Arabidopsis thaliana: one gene and its partners. The protein of the gene in region 1 interacts with the protein of each later gene in a pairwise test. Each region holds a gene or a part of one and is shown in the gene's direction. Other genes may lie near its edges.

Region 1 (6,895 bases):
TGAACATCTCTGATTTTTGAATAGAACCTTGAAATTGTTATGTTTATTTGTTCTTCAAAGCTTGATATAATAACAATAGTCGCTGAACGCATCAGATCAGCCACTCAAAATGTTCGACTGTGAACCTTCTCTTGACTTGCAATCTAACGGCATTGAAGGCTTTGTTGTACTCATGGCTATTGCATTGAGAATGAGATAAATAAAGAACAACATTGAGACTCAGTGCAGACTGGAAGGAGCAAATTGATAGACCTCTAAATGAAGAGCTCAATGAGAAAGCTCCTGAGTTGGTGCTGAGCTGGATAGACAAGTGTTTTAATGTATAGAGTCGTAATCCAGTCTAAATACAAAGTAGCTGTGGGAAGTAGAAGGTTAAAGGTTGTTGTAAAGGGAACACATTCTACTTTCTCGGGACTTTTCTTTGGTCAATCAAGAATTGGTGCTTGTTTCTATCAGTAACTGAACAAAACCAGAGAGTATGAGTTTGATCTTTACCAAACGCAACAAGGCATACAAAGGCAAATCCATAGTAATGACAAAAGATATCTAAGAAATAATAAGATAAGTAATACATTTGCTTAACAACAAAGAACAATATAGTTCTTAGCCAAAAAACATAAAAAAACAATGAACAATATAGTTGAGAACAATGTGATAGACCAAAATCTTATGTATTCATTCATCAAAAGAGAACAGTTTATATTGGAATTCTAAACGTTTTGCCTACTATTGAAGGTTTCACAAGAAACAAAACAAACCAAAGACTAGAAAACAAAGTGTAATTCAATAGTCTACGTTAACATGACGTGTTTTCGCACCGAAGACAATAATATATAAACTGTGATGACAGAATATGGAGTCATGGACTATGTAAGGCTAAACTAGATTATGGAGTCATGGACGAATGAAGAGTTTTTAATTTCGTGAATTTCATAAATAATGTGAGCCTCGTAATACCACTAGTTGTAGACAGCGGTTCTTTGGTGGTCGATATTGCATGGATTATGCGGTCCACTCCACGATCTAATTATTACAACTATATACATATATTTATATATCATGCACTATATTTGTATTTTACAATCTTAAAACCATAACATATCAAAACACTTTGATTAGTAACTTTTGTAATTTTATAAGCTTCTTGTGATTTTTATGTGATAAAACATAAACGACACCAATTCGTTTTTTTTTGTTTTCATACATATTTTCTATAATATCTGTCAGGATCTAATAATTAATATACTGCTCTAAAAGTATATATCATATCAATTGTCTCCAAGTTTTGGTGAAACACCTCAAACTCAAGTTAATAAGACTATTTTGGTTGTATTCATGTTTTTTTTTTGGCTATGTTCCATTCTGCTTACTTCTTAAAACAATGTAGTGTCCAATAACAGCATAAACCTGATAAGAATAATAATTATGCGTGTAGAATTTTGGTGAAACACGTCAAACTTATTTAACAAAACATATATGTTTCATTTTTTTTTGGTTAATTTTTTCCCAATTTTTTTATTTTGAAATAAATTTTCGGATAGTGACATATAACCTTATGTAGTCTGTCAATTGTCATATTTTTCTATTTCCATCATCCTATATACTTTACCTTTGTTAAAACTCCTTAGATAAGAACTTCCAATATTTTCCTTACCTATATTTTAATTTCCAGTTTTATATATTTAGTACTTAAAAAATTCAAATGGAAAATATGTTTGACTCTAATTAGACACATATAATATATATTTCCAAATAGTAAATTACAAATTGAGAAACTCATGAACAATAGTGCATCCACGTCGTTATCCAAGTTGGATTTCTTTCTAAAACAAATAATTAGACCTTTAAAAAAAAATATAAATAGGTACTTGTTAAAAAGTAGGAGAGCCCACAAATAAGGCTTTGGCCGCTTCTGCTTGGACTCTCCAACAAAAATCAAACTCTTTAAAAAAACAAACAAATTGAAGAGCGATTATACGATCACGGAGAACTCAAGATCCGGTGACGAATCCAACTTCTTGTGACGGAGCTCAAGTCGAGAGAGAGAAGACTGTACTAGTAGTAGTAGCTGTGGATTTTTGTGTCATCATCGGAGATCGGAATCTTCTTCTTCTTCTTCTTCTTGGAGCTTCTAGAAGTGGAGAGAAGGGGGAAGATCAAGCGACGGATAGTGATAGGTTTTGCTGTATGTCAGTGGATTGTGTTGAAACTGATTTTGGTGGATTTGGAGAACTTGTGAACCCTATTCAATGGCCTCAGCTTCGAAAAAGACGTCGGCATGTCCTCACCACGGTGGCTCTCTTCCGCCTCCCAAACTCGTCTCCGCTGCTCCCGATACCGTTGCTGTATGGTCCGACGCTGACGATCAGCGAGCCTCTAAAGTTTCTTTGGAATCCGTTATCCGCCCTGTCGATTCGTTTCCTGATAATACTGCCAAGAAACCTGCCAACAAAGGTTTGATTTGATCGTTGATCGTCCTTCATTCTTCTGATGTTAGCTCGCGATTCGTTTGAATTACTTGACTTCTTGTTTACTGGAATTTGTTGATGATGGTTACTTTTTGTGAAATTGGTTCTTGTCTACTTGATGGCTTCTGATTGAGATCTAATTGTGATCACTATTGTGGTTTCTGTGAAGTTGATTTTCTGTTGTGATCACCAATGCAGGGATTTCTGTGATGCCAAGGACTGAAACCAAGCACCCATTGGATCCTCTTTCTGCTGCAGAAATATCAGTTGCTGTGGCGACTGTTCGCGCAGCTGGTGCCAATCCTGAGGTGCGCAAACTTACTTGATTCTTGACAAATGCAGAATGCTTGATAACATTGTCACTGAAACTGTTTTACTTTTTCTTTGGCAGGTTAGGGATGGCATGCGTTTCATTGAGGTGGCATCAGTGGAACCAGATAAACAAGTTGTGGCGCTCGCTGATGCTTACTTTTTCCCACCGTTCCAGCCATCACTACTTCCAAGAACTAAATCTGGACCTGTGATTCCGATGAAGCTCCCTCCAAGGCGAGCTAGACTTGTTGTTTACAACCAAAAGTCTAATGAGACAAGTGTATGGATTGTGGCATTGTCTGAAGTTCATGCTGTCACTCGGGGTGGACATCACAGGGGAAGAGTTGTTTCCTCACAAGTTATACCTGATGTTCAGCCACCCATGGTATGTTAAACTATGTTTTAAGGAATTGGATCTCTAAGTGACTTTTAGATGCTACCGTTGTTTGCCAGTCTCTAAGTTTAGATTCTTTTGATTTTAGGATGCGGCTGAATATGCTGAATGTGAAGCGATTGTCAAAGACTTCCCACCATTCATAGAGGCAATGAAGAGGAGAGGTATTGAAGACATGGATCTAGTGATGGTTGATCCCTGGTATGTTAACAACATCATCGTTTCTGTTGACAATTAAGGTGTACTTCTTCTCTGAGCCTACCTCTTAATGTATTGTGCAGGTGTGTGGGTTATCACAGTGAGGCTGACGCTCCTAGTCGTAGGCTTGCAAAGCCCCTTATATACTGTCGGACTGATAGTGATTCCCCTATGGAAAATGGATATGCTCGTCCAGTTGAGGGCATTTATGTACTTGTAGACATGCAAAACATGGTGGTGATTGAATTTGAAGACCGTAAGTTTGTGCCACTCCCCCCACCTGACCCTTTGAGGAATTATACCCCAGGTGAAAGTAGAGGGGGTGTTGATAGAAGTGATGTTAAGCCTCTCCAGATTATTCAGCCTGAAGGTCCAAGTTTTCGTGTAAGGGGTTACTTTGTCGAGTGGCAGAAGGTAGATTTCCAGTAATAGCCTACTTGAAACCAAGTGATTATGCTTAAGCTTATTTCTAAATTGGCTCAACATTTTGTTTACAGTGGAACTTTCGTATTGGATTCACTCCAAGGGAAGGTTTAGTCATACATTCGGTAGCATATGTTGATGGCAGTCGAGGTCGAAGGCCTGTTGCACACAGGCTAAGTTTTGTGGAAATGGTTGTGCCTTATGGCGATCCTAATGAGCCACATTACAGGAAAAATGCTTTTGATGCAGGGGAGGATGGTCTCGGGAAAAACGCACATTCGCTTAAGAAGGTTTGACATCAGTTTTTTTTTTGGTGTTCTTACCACTCAGATCTCAGTTTGTGTTTAACAATCGGTTTTTATAGGGGTGTGACTGTCTGGGATCTATCAAGTACTTCGATGCCCATTTCACAAATTTCACTGGAGGAGTTGAAACAATTGAGAACTGTGTTTGCTTGCATGAAGAAGATCATGGGATTTTGTGGAAACATCAGGACTGGAGAACAGGATTAGCCGAAGTGCGAAGATCTAGGAGACTAACTGTCTCTTTTCTATGTACTGTTGCCAACTACGAGTATGGGTTTTACTGGCACTTCTACCAGGTTAGTGGAATACGTGATTCTTCATTTCTTGAGTAAAGCAGATATTAGTCATATTTGCATCTAATTTCTATAGGGAAGACAAATGATGTGTCTCCGCATGAGAATAAATCCTGAGTTTAGTGGCACTTTGCTTGTGATTTTTCACTTGAGGACATTGATTTACAGTGCTGAATCCGAGTTTCATTTGTTTTCTGATTTGTAGTTTCATCTTTCTAGATATTTGAAGACCAATATCATTTTATGTCTTGAATGTCTTACTGTAGGATGGGAAAATCGAAGCTGAAGTAAAACTTACTGGTATCCTCAGTTTAGGAGCTCTGCAGCCAGGTGAAACTCGAAAGTACGGTACTACTATTGCTCCTGGGTTGTATGCACCAGTCCATCAACATTTCTTTATCGCTCGCATGGATATGTCTGTTGACTGTAAACCTGCTGAAGCTTTTAATCAGGTACCTTTTTATGATGCTGCTCTTCTTCTTGTTATTTACTTACATATGCGGATTATTTTCTCAGTATTTAGGAATGGCATTGGTAGCATATGAATTTTAGAAGTCCCTATAGTTCTTGAAAAAAAATCTTAGATACATGTTGTCAGCTGGTTTTGCTCAATAGTCAGCTTAATCCACTTTTATCTGTAGGTAGTTGAGGTAAATGTTAGAGTTGACGAGCGAGGTGAGAACAATGTCCACAACAATGCGTTTTATGCGGAAGAGAAGTTACTTAAATCTGAGGCAGTGGCGATGCGTGACTGTGACCCTCTTTCTGCTCGCCATTGGATTGTAAGCAAAAACCGTACCTTGCATGTTCTCGTCCATTTATTGCATGTTTAACTTTCACATTGTCAGTGCTCGTACCCGTCTCTGTAATATCCTTGTTTATATTTCTTTCATCCTTGACTATCTACTAGTCTCATCCTTGAGACTGGATTTGGGATAAGAGATCACCTGAGCATCCCTAAGTTTCAGTCATGTGTTTATATAGTCTCATACTTGAGTTCCTTTACCAAAAAATCATCTCAGAGTTTCATTGAATATGATTTGTAGCTGAAGTATAGATGGTATACTCACGCAAGATGTATATTCAACACAAATCATTGTAATGTGTTATCAGGTAAGGAACACAAGGACTGTAAACAGGACGGGCCAATTAACGGGATACAAACTTGTTCCGGGTTCAAATTGTTTGCCATTAGCTCGACCCGAGGCGAAGTTTCTAAGAAGAGCCGCTTTCCTGAAGCATAATCTCTGGGTTACCCGTTACGCCCCAGACGAGAAGTTTCCTGGAGGAGAATTCCCAAACCAAAACCCACGGGCTGGTGAAGGTCTTGCCACATGGGTGAAACAGAATCGCTCCTTGGAAGAATCTGACGTCGTTCTTTGGTCTGTATCCTTGTTTTACTTATCTGATTCAGTTAAAAACTACTACTTACCAAATTATGTGACTTTCAATGTGGAATTTTCATTTGTCACCAGGTACGTGTTTGGGATCACACATGTTCCTAGACTTGAAGATTGGCCGGTTATGCCCGTCGAACATATTGGTTTCACACTAATGGTAAGTTAAATCTTTGACTGTAACTTTCAATGGAAAAAAAACCTTACAAAGGATTGGTTAAAAAATGTTTTGGGTTTTGGGTAAAATACAGCCACATGGATTTTTCAACTGCTCACCGGCAGTAGATGTGCCACCGAATCCATGCGAATTGGAGACTAAGGAGAGTGAAGTCAAAGAGGTTGTAGCACCGAAAGCTCTTCAGACTGGTTTACTTTCAAAGCTTTGAAGAATATGAATATCATTTGTTTTCTTTCTTTGATCTCTTAAAAAATTGGAGGCGTTGCTGTTGGTTAAGAACAATTTCATATTTGAATCTTTTATTTTCGTGTTTGGTGTGTGTGTTTGCAAGACTAAAAAGACCTTTGTCATTGGAATATTTCTATTAAAATTTCATATTTGAATCTTTTATTTTCGTGTTTGGTGTGTGTGTTCTTCTATGAATTGCATTAGTTTCATACTTTGGAAAAGAGAAGCAAATAAATATAAACATTGGAAGAGAGGAGCAACATCTCTACTATTTTCATTTTATAAGCCAATCAGAGCGCTCCATGTCATACCCCATTCTCACCTTTTACGTGATTTCACACCCACTCTCACTAATCGCGTGTTGAGGGCGTGTCTACGTTTTCTGAGGGTTCTAACCCACCAAATGGCTTGTTTTGAAACACACTCGCTCTTTTTTAAAAAAGCCTCGAGTGCGTGATTTCAGTGTTTTTCTCCTTTAATTCCAATTCAAACCCAACCGAAATCAATTGAATTTTTCAAAACCATGTAAATCGAACCGAAATTAAAAACACAAACGACAAACTAGCAATTGTCACTTCCACAATTGATCCAACTCCGACGAACCAGATTGATAATTTTGATTCGATTCCACACAGATAACATATAGTCCAAACCAAATGCAATTCATATAGCCTAAAAATCTTAGCTAAAACCCAAAGA
Region 2 (4,221 bases), on another chromosome or scaffold:
TGGGTAGAAAGTTTCATGGAGGAGCTGAATCATTTGCTGACCGGCGGAAGATTTCTCCGGCGAAGCAGTGACGGGGCATGTGCTGAAACGTTGATCTACGCTGCAATCTCCACATTGCATACATGTGTCATCATATTGTCTATTTAATGTTTGCAATTAGTGGGCTTTTGGCCTCAAGTTGTACCTGTTTATGAAGCCCATTTGGGCTAATTAATAGAAAAATGTTTGCCGTTAAAAAAAAAAAAAAAAAAGTGGTTCGATGGTCGTAAATAACTTTTATGGGTTTTGGTCTTGGGTTAGAGAATTCAAATTCATGGGCCAACCCAATTTTCATTTTAAGTGCTTCTTCTATGATGACATTTCACGAAAATAATACAATGGATTGTCGAGGAAAGAAGTGATGTTTTCTGTAAATTGTTAGGCATTAGTTATTGGAGAAGCGAAATGTGAAATGCACATTGTTTGTTGGCTATTAACTTGCTTTTAAAGGTGACTTGAACATATTTGGTGTCTTATGTTGATTCCGAAGCTATGAGTACTTTTGATCAATCTAGTTTATGAAGTTACTTTTAGCATCGCCTTCTCGATTTTGTTACTGCCATCACATGTCAAGTTGGTTTTGATGTTTTGTAAGCATTGATAAGCTTTAACGAACAAACTTTTTTTTGTTATCATTACTGCGTATTGGAGTTTTGCATTACATCTTTTGCTTCTCTTATGGCTGAGCAGGGCCGGCCCTGGGCTAAAGTTGGTGAAACTCATGCTTTACGCGCCTAAAATTATAGATAATATTAAAGGGCATCAAATTTTAAAAATGTTTCGTAGTCTAGTGATTGTTTCATAGATTAGTGACTCTTTCGTGGACAGTTCGAACCTTACCTTCGTTTTTTTGAGACTTTAATTATAAATAGATTTAAAATGCTTAAGAATTTTAAATGAGCTTAAAGATGTTTTAGGCATCAAAATCTGTTGGGTTAGCCCTCTGGCTGAGTCTGAGCTCGCAGCATGCAATACTAATTTCTTAAGCTGCAATGCAGTGAGAAGACAAGTAAAACAAGATTAACATTAGCCCAAACTAGATTATTCACAACAAATGTTAATGACTATTACCTTGCTATCTTTATATTTAGCCTCTTTTGTTTGAGCTTAATTTTCAAAAATAATTTGCTTTCTGTCGGTTTAGTTTCTAGAAGGATTCGACTCTTAGTATCTTATCGGCTTCGTGAAGAAAAACTGTATTTCACCCATATATTTCTCAATCGTATTCGTATCTCACCCATGTATTCATATATCGTATTATAAAACAGAAAAGATATATAGATAAGGAAAAAAAACTCATATATATATATTTGCATATATAAAGTATTAAATGCAACAGCTATAGCAAAAAGGTTCTATGGTCTAGCGGTTAGGACATTGGACTCTGAATCCAGTAACCCGAGTTCAATTCTCGGTAGAACCTCTTTTTTTCACACTCCGGCCAAATTTTTTCCCCCGGCGATTTATGAACCCTAAATATAACGCCGGCCAACAACCAAAACTCGACGCTACTGCGAAATCTTTTTCTTTATCCTTTTTTTTCTTCTTTTTCGGGCGAAATGGAGAATTCGTTGCTTGATTCTGGTGAAACTATGGAGATTGTCGCTACACAAAAAATCGAGGAAACAGTGAAGAGCATACTCAGTGAATCTGATATGGACCAAATGACGGAGTTCAAACTCCGACTTGACGCTTCGGCTAAACTCGGTATCGACTTATCGGGAACCAATCACAAGAAGCTAGTCAGAGATGTTCTTGAGGTCTTTTTGCTATCGACTCCCGGTGAAGCACTCGTACCGGAGACGGTGGCTCCGGCGAAAAATGAGACAGTTTCTGTTGCTGCCGCTTCCGTTGGTGGTGAAGATGAGCGCTTTATTTGTAAGGTTGCGACTTTGCCTATTTGTTCTATGTTTGATTCACTGTATAGAGTAGAGATTGTGATCATCTCGATTTTGAGTTTTTCAGTGGTCACTGTAGAAATTGTTGGTCTTTAACTGTAGTTATCGGAGAAGCAAAATGCGACGGTTCAAAGATACAGAGGCCAACCTTTTCTATCGATTGGTTCTCAGGAACATGGAAAGGCTTTTAGAGGTAATTTGAAACACAACTTGGTGTCTTGGTCTTGACTATGAAGCTATAAGTAGCCATTTTTGTTTTAGATATGCTCCTGTTGATTTCAATTGTTAGATGTTTCTTCTCTGTCAGGAGCACATTTGTCAACTAACCAATGGTCTGTAATCAAGAAGAATTTTGCAGCGATAGAGGACGGTATTAAGCAGTGCCAATCAAAACTAAAGTAAGAATGTGTACCTTATTTTAAGTCTATAAAGATTCATGTTCCCTGGCATTGCTTTTAGTGTTTTATGGTCATATAATCATCGTGGCATAGGGCATTACTGTCTGGCTAGCAATGTAGGCTGCTTATCTTGCTATTAAACGTTATGCAGATCTGAAGCAGCACGAAATGGAGATACTTCTGAGGCTGTGGATAAGGACAGCTCTCACGGTTTTTCTGTTATCAAGATTTCACGATTTGATGGAAAGAGTTATCTTTACTGGGCTTCACAGATGGAACTCTTTCTGAAGCAATTGAAGCTGACTTATGTACTCTCTGAACCTTGTCCCAGTATTGGTAGCTCTCAAGGCCCTGAAACCAACCCCAGGGAAATAACTCGAGCTGATGCTACGGGGAAAAAATGGTTGAGAGATGATTACCTGTGCTATACTCACTTGATGAACTCCTTGTCAGATCATCTATACCGTCGATACTCTCAGAAATTTAAGCATGCCAAAGAATTGTGGGACGAGTTAAAATGGGTCTACCAGTGTGATGAATCCAAATCGAAGAGGTCACAAGTCAGAAAGTACATTGAATTCAGAATGGTGGAAGAGAGACCGATACTCGAGCAAGTCCAAGTCTTTAACAAGATTGCGGATTCCATAGTGAGTGCTGGTATGTTTCTTGATGAGGCATTTCATGTGAGTACCATCATCTCCAAGTTTCCCCCGTCTTGGAGAGGCTTCTGCACCAGGTTAATGGAAGAGGAGTATTTACCAGTCTGGATGTTGATGGAACGAGTAAAAGCTGAGGAAGAGCTTCTCAGAAATGGAGCAAAAGGGGTTACATATAGACCAGCCACAGGCTCCTCTCAGATGGAAAGGACACCGAGTCTAGGAACAACACATAGAGGATCTCAGAGCGTAGGTTGGAAGAGGAAAGAACCTGAGAGAGACGAGAGAGTCATCATCGTCTGTGACAACTGTGGGAGGAAAGGACATCTCGCAAAGCATTGCTGGGGTAGTAAATCTGATGAGAGAGCTTCCGGAAAATCAAACCGGATCAACTCCTCAGTCGCTGCACCTGTGGAATCAGAGACTCAAGCAACAACAAACAATGATAGGGGGTAGTAGTTGATGATTGCTGAAGCCAAAATGTTTATATCTCTTCACAGATATACTTAAAGAGGTAAGTCTTTTGAATACCGTTGATTCAGGATTCAGAAGCAGTCCTTTTATGACCTTTTTTCAGCTTGTCCATATGTCTGGCCTATTAGATTTATGACACTGAAATGTATAAAAGAAGAACAGAGAGATGACCAATAGATCAGTTTTGGCCTGATTTAATGTAAAAGTATACTTTTATGAATGATAATTTTTTTGTCAAAATTGCTTTTTAAATCCTATTTTGAGGAACCAAAATAAAAACAGAAACCTCAAAACTGATATACAAACAAATAAACTGACATCAATTGAGGTGACAATACTTAACACACAACCAAAAATTAAGAGTTTCTTTGTCCCAAGCGTTATGGAAGATATTCTCAGCCTCTAAAATTAAACTTGAACGTCGAAATTTTAAAAAGGACCAGATGGAGAGTAATATAAAATTAGCGGGTGAAAAATAGAAGAAATTAAAAGTTTCAGGGTGAAAAGGAAAAAAAATGAAACCTGTCAGACCGCCGTGCGACCACCCCGGCAAGGGAGAACCGAGCCGAGTAACCATCCTCTACAGCACCGGATGCATCCAAGGACAATCGTAGCCGTCAATCACGCTCAAGCCGCACGGTCACGGTTCATCAACAAGGGTTTAGGGCCTGTCTCTTGAGAAATTTTCTCAAGAAAACAGATGTACGAGCCTATAGTTCAAGTAAGGTCGTGACCATTGATGCTTTGTATCCATAT
Region 3 (5,127 bases), on another chromosome or scaffold:
AAAATACATATTGAACCACAACGCTACTATGAACTTTTTGAGAAACAGGATTATAATTAAGATAAAAGAATTAAAAAAGTGTGAAGGAATTAAAATTTTAATTTCAATGAAAATAAGGGGCCAAGTTGAAATATATAGAATATACAAAAAAGAAATTGTACAACTATTTTCCTTTTGTATGAAAATAAATTAGTTTTTTCTTTTAGCAAAAAATTAGTTCATGTATTTGCATTGCATCAACTAAAATAGTTATATTAAAAAAAGGATTTTTGTGTAGCTGTGATATTTGGAATAGAAAATCCAGAATAATAATATCGAAAATTGTTTGCTTTATCCCCCTTTCTTTTGTAGAAATTCTCATATGATTAGTGGATGATTCGGTCCAAGTACTATCATTTAAGGATCTGTGTAGTATTAAAATCTCGAAATCTCTATTCGTTATTAACTTTGTCGGTGAAGGGGTTGATATATAATAAACCGAAGACTTTTTGTGTGAAAAGAATCATGTAATAACGGTACTTATTCATTTTGTACTTATACTAAAATAAATACCGATTATGTTGGTGGTAGACTTCTAAATTTTAATTAGCTTTTTAAAAAGACCCTTAATTTTTAATAAAATTGATGGAAAGAGGAATAGTTACTTTCTATCTTCGGTAAAATTCAGGACCCAAGAAGGTCGAGGCACGTGCCCCATGATAGACTTGTCATGTGATGTGACCTATTTTCTTTGTCCAACAATTTTTTAAAACAAATTGTCATAGGCTAGAAGTCGTCAAAAGTTAATAAGCAAAAAACGCAATATTTCAAAAATAAAAAATTTAACAAGAATGAATGACACAAACCTAATCGTCTTGACATTTTATCTCATATATCAATAATGCTCAATCGAGTGTAAATACTTTTTTTACATAGTAAAAGGCGAATAAGAGAGCAGATCATGTAGCAATTATTTTCACTATTATTGTTATTGTGTTGTTGACTTTGATTTTTAGTTTTTAATAGCAGGGTACAAATTTGTACCTTCAATTATGTCACCAACGAGTGTTTGAGATAAGATTAGACAATAGTAAACACAAAATTGATGTAAGCTATTTAACATGTTTATTGAACTGTAAATAATTATATCTGTTTTAATATATTTTTTAACTATTTTTTTTCTTAATTGATATTTTATTGTATTAACACTCCTTCTTATTAACTTTGCAAAATAAACTGTCATCTTGTAAATTATTACCAAATCTTAACACTATTATTATTGACTTTAGAATCTAAGATATACCTAAATAATTTCTTAAGGCCAAAAAAAAAATTATCATCTTTTTATTTAAGTTAATCTAAGATATAAACATTAAGAGAAAGTTGCAAAATTAAAGAAAAAATATCTATCTTTACCTGGATACAAAACTTATACTTTTGGATAATTCATATGAAAGTCTCTCTTCTAATGTAGTAAAAACTTCTACATTTCACAGCTAAAAACTGAAACCCAAATTTAAAATTTCGTGTATAGTACCGAGGAAAAAAAGTATTTGCAAGCAAAATCTAGAGCAGAAAAATTTAAAGATCTTTTGCTTCACATGACTCTATTGTTTTTTTCTTACCTCTATTTTTTCAAGTCTGCAGCTTTTTGAAGCTATATTTTTCAGATCTTTCACTCTCTCTCTAGCTACTTCTTTTTGTCTTTAAGTTTTCAAATTTTATTAAATTTTTATATTCTACTGCCTCCTCAGCTTCTCTCACAAAGCACAAATCCAAGCCCCAAATCAAATCCCACCATTGTTTTATTACCTCAATCCAAGAACACTAGACACAACAAAAATCTCTGTTTCTTATCCAAATTTCTGATCTTTGTGGAGAACAATATTTTGATTGGATGTGAGACAAATGGGTTGTTTACATTCCAAAACTGCTAATCTTCCTTCTTCTGATGATCCATCAGCTCCAAACAAACCAGAATCAGGTAATAATACTAATCTCTTAGATTCTAAAAAACTCACATTTTGTTTGCTCACTTAGTAAATCTGCAGTTTTTCGTCTGTTCTTGTTATGGGTTTGCTTTAATTTGTGGGGTTAGGGTTTGTGAAAGGCTTAAAGCAGAGAAAAAGTTATAAAGTCTCTTCCTTTTTGGAATTAAACTCTTGTTTAGATTGATTTGCCTTTTCGGGGTATGTTTTGTTATGTGGTTACAGTAAATGGGGACCAAGTGGATCAGGAAATCCAAAATTTCAAAGAATTTGAACTAAATGAGTTGAGGAAAGCTACCAATGGGTTTAGTCCTAGCTGCATTGTCTCTGAAGGTGGAGAGAAAGCTCCTAATGTCGTTTACAGAGGGAAGCTTGAAGGGAATCATCTTGTAGCTATCAAGCGATTCTCTAGGCAATCTTGGCCTGATGCTCAACAGTTTGTGGTAAGATATCTGAGAAAAGGTCAATGCATGATTTGTTGTTCATTGATTCATTGTCTGATTTTAGACCCTGGGTGATTCTGTTGGACTATCTCTTAGGCAAACCGCATCAATGACTAGTCCAAGGAATGGTGATTTAGGTGTAGTTTTTAGTTACAGAAGAAGAACAAGGCATCATTTTTCGATAAAAGAATAAGCGTCCCTGAGTTTGGTTACCACTGAATTGTAGAAAAGTCGATAACTTCGGGTTTAAAGCTGCTTTTAAATCTTAGGATACGACTAATGTCTTGACTGTATATCTTGACTGCTTTTAAATAGGAGCTTTGTCCTGGTGTTGACCTTGTTTGACTTGTGAAATCAGGTGGAAGCGACTGGTGTTGGGAAGCTTAGAAACAAGAGAATAGTTAGTTTGATCGGTTGCTGTGCTGAAGGAGATGAGAGGTTGTTGGTGGCAGAGTATATGCCCAATGATACTCTCTCAAAGCATCTCTTCCACTGTAATAGTCTTATCTTTCTCTCGTTATAAGCTTGGTTTAAAGTCTTCTTTAGATGATTTACTCTCTTCTTTCTGTGTTTGTTTGCATTGTTTGCAGGGGAAAAGCAGCCACTTCCATGGGATATGCGTGTTCGAATCGCAGACTATATTGCAGAAGCACTTGATTACTGCAATATTGAGAACCGAAAAATCTATCATGACCTCAATGCATACAGAATCCTCTTCGACGAGGAAGGTGATCCTCGTCTATCTACTTTTGGTCTTATGAAGAACAGTAGAGATGGCAAAAGCTATAGCACAAACTTAGCTTATACTCCACCTGAGTTTTTACGGACAGGTAAAATTCTTGATCTTGTGAATCGTAGTCGAAGACAAACCAATTCATTATTGAAGATTAAAGTTCTCTGGTTTTTCTTTTGCAGGTAGAGTCATTCCTGAAAGTGTGATATTCAGTTATGGAACTATTCTTTTAGATCTTTTAAGCGGCAAACACATTCCACCTAGCCATGTATGTGCTTCCAATGTTCTAATTTCCTTCATTTTATCTTACTTTTTTGTCAATTGCCGAGGATTTTATTTGTGGTCTTCTTATCTGAATTGGTGGTGATGTTTCATATCAGGCCCTTGATATCATAAGAGGGAAAAATGCTTTGCTTCTTATGGATTCATCTCTTGAAGGGCAATATGCGAATGATGATGCGACTAAATTAGTTGATCTTGCTTCAAAATGCCTTCAATCAGAGGCAAAGGATCGACCAGATACCAAATTTCTTCTCTCTGCAGTAGCACCACTACAAAAGCAAGAAGAGGTTTAAAAGAATCCCTCCTGAAACCGACCATATCATGAATTTCATATCCAAATTTGTTTATCCTGGATTTGATTTTGTTGCTTAGGTTGCTTCTCATGTCTTAATGGGCTTACCAAAGAACACAGTAATATTACCAACTATGCTTTCTCCTCTTGGAAAGGCCTGTGCAAAGATGGACCTTGCGACATTTCACGACATTTTGCTTAAAACCGGTTACAGAGATGAAGAAGGTGCAGAAAATGAGCTTTCATTTCAAGAATGGACACAACAAGTGCAGGAGATGCTTAACACAAAAAAGTTCGGGGACATTGCTTTCAGAGACAAGGATTTCAAGAACTCAATTGAATACTACTCCAAGGTGAGAGGAAATAGCAACAAATCCATAATTCTCGGTGTTCGAAAAGAATTTCTAACCTCTGTATCTATGGTTTCCAGTTGGTGGGGATGATGCCGGTTCCTTCTGCAACAGTTTTCGCTAGACGGGCTTTCTCCTACTTAATGACAGACCAACAGGAGCTTGCACTGAGAGATGCAATGCAGGCACAGGTGTGCATACCAGAATGGCCAACAGCTTTTTACTTGCAGGCTTTAGCGCTCTCAAAGCTCGGAATGGAGACTGATGCTCAAGATATGCTCAACGATGGCGCTGCATATGATGCTAAGCGACAGAATAGCTGGCGCTGCTAAGCTATTAGAGGAAGTCCCAAATATTTATGGGTCTTTTCAGACTGTAACTGAAAGGTGTGTATGCATGTAAGAGAGAGATGGAATGTGTTGTTTACTTTTGTGAAATGAGAGCTTCTTTTTTTGCATGAATCTTTATGAAAAGTCAAATCTTTTGGGGAAAGAGAGAATAAGACTGCAAATAACTAATTTGATTCCTTCTTCCTTATGGTAATACAAAAAGATGGAAAATTCAATATGCTATTACAATTATAAACAACTTTACTGGGAAAAATAATGTTGCTTTTTAGTTTAGGATAACAGATGATGATACTTCATGCTTGAGAAGTAACTAAAGGTGGAAACTTTGATTCCAACCATGACACCAAATCCTCCTTTGTAGCCACAAAGATACCTGGCCTATCGCTCTGTCTAAATGGTGCAGAGAGTTGTTGCAAATGCAAGGCGAAAGAGTTTGCTAATCCCTGTGAGAATCTGTGAGTTCCTGTCCCAGTTTGCGCCAAAAACAGCTCAGGAAGTTCCTCTTGGCGTTTAATGATGTTGGCAAGTGTTCTCATCCACTCTTCGAGAGCGGTCTCAGCTGCACCAACTGATAATGACCTCACATCTAGGCTCCATTCTTTTATGGTCTTGTTGTGTAGTCCCGGGTATAGACCAAAAAGTGTTCCTAAGTAGAGAAGCTCATGAGCTCTCTCATGCCGGTTGTTGCCTCTGCATATATCTATCAAACA

The links. The genes of interacting proteins can lie anywhere in the genome.
Region 2: the proteins of AT2G42490 (region 1) and AT4G00980 interact in a two-hybrid assay, tested with the Arabidopsis thaliana proteins (one large-scale study listed by BioGRID).
Region 3: the proteins of AT2G42490 (region 1) and BSK2 interact in a two-hybrid assay, tested with the Arabidopsis thaliana proteins (one large-scale study listed by BioGRID).

Annotation. Positions count from the first base shown.
Region 1 is NC_003071.7:17,690,881-17,697,775, reverse strand, and holds AT2G42490 (Copper amine oxidase family protein), read left to right. Parts: upstream 1-1,752; 5' UTR 1,753-2,249; coding exon 2,250-2,454; intron 2,455-2,666; coding exon 2,667-2,776; intron 2,777-2,859; coding exon 2,860-3,165; intron 3,166-3,262; coding exon 3,263-3,375; intron 3,376-3,455; coding exon 3,456-3,786; intron 3,787-3,869; coding exon 3,870-4,085; intron 4,086-4,159; coding exon 4,160-4,396; intron 4,397-4,659; coding exon 4,660-4,845; intron 4,846-5,034; coding exon 5,035-5,175; intron 5,176-5,506; coding exon 5,507-5,775; intron 5,776-5,868; coding exon 5,869-5,950; intron 5,951-6,041; coding exon 6,042-6,176; 3' UTR 6,177-6,369; downstream 6,370-6,895.
Region 2 is NC_003075.7:421,958-426,178, reverse strand, and holds AT4G00980 (zinc knuckle (CCHC-type) family protein), read left to right. Parts: upstream 1-1,590; 5' UTR 1,591-1,598; coding exon 1,599-1,922; intron 1,923-2,039; coding exon 2,040-2,130; intron 2,131-2,244; coding exon 2,245-2,335; intron 2,336-2,486; coding exon 2,487-3,447; 3' UTR 3,448-3,701; downstream 3,702-4,221.
Region 3 is NC_003076.8:18,892,800-18,897,926, forward strand, and holds BSK2 (BR-signaling kinase 2), read left to right. Parts: upstream 1-1,578; 5' UTR 1,579-1,887; coding exon 1,888-1,963; intron 1,964-2,192; coding exon 2,193-2,410; intron 2,411-2,768; coding exon 2,769-2,904; intron 2,905-3,000; coding exon 3,001-3,240; intron 3,241-3,325; coding exon 3,326-3,411; intron 3,412-3,523; coding exon 3,524-3,712; intron 3,713-3,797; coding exon 3,798-4,070; intron 4,071-4,147; coding exon 4,148-4,399; 3' UTR 4,400-4,607; downstream 4,608-5,127. Other genes in the region: AT5G46580 (pentatricopeptide (PPR) repeat-containing protein), read right to left, coding at 4,711-5,127. UniProt on the Arabidopsis thaliana protein: Probable serine/threonine kinase that acts as a positive regulator of brassinosteroid (BR) signaling downstream of the receptor kinase BRI1. Mediates signal transduction from BRI1 by functioning as substrate of BRI1.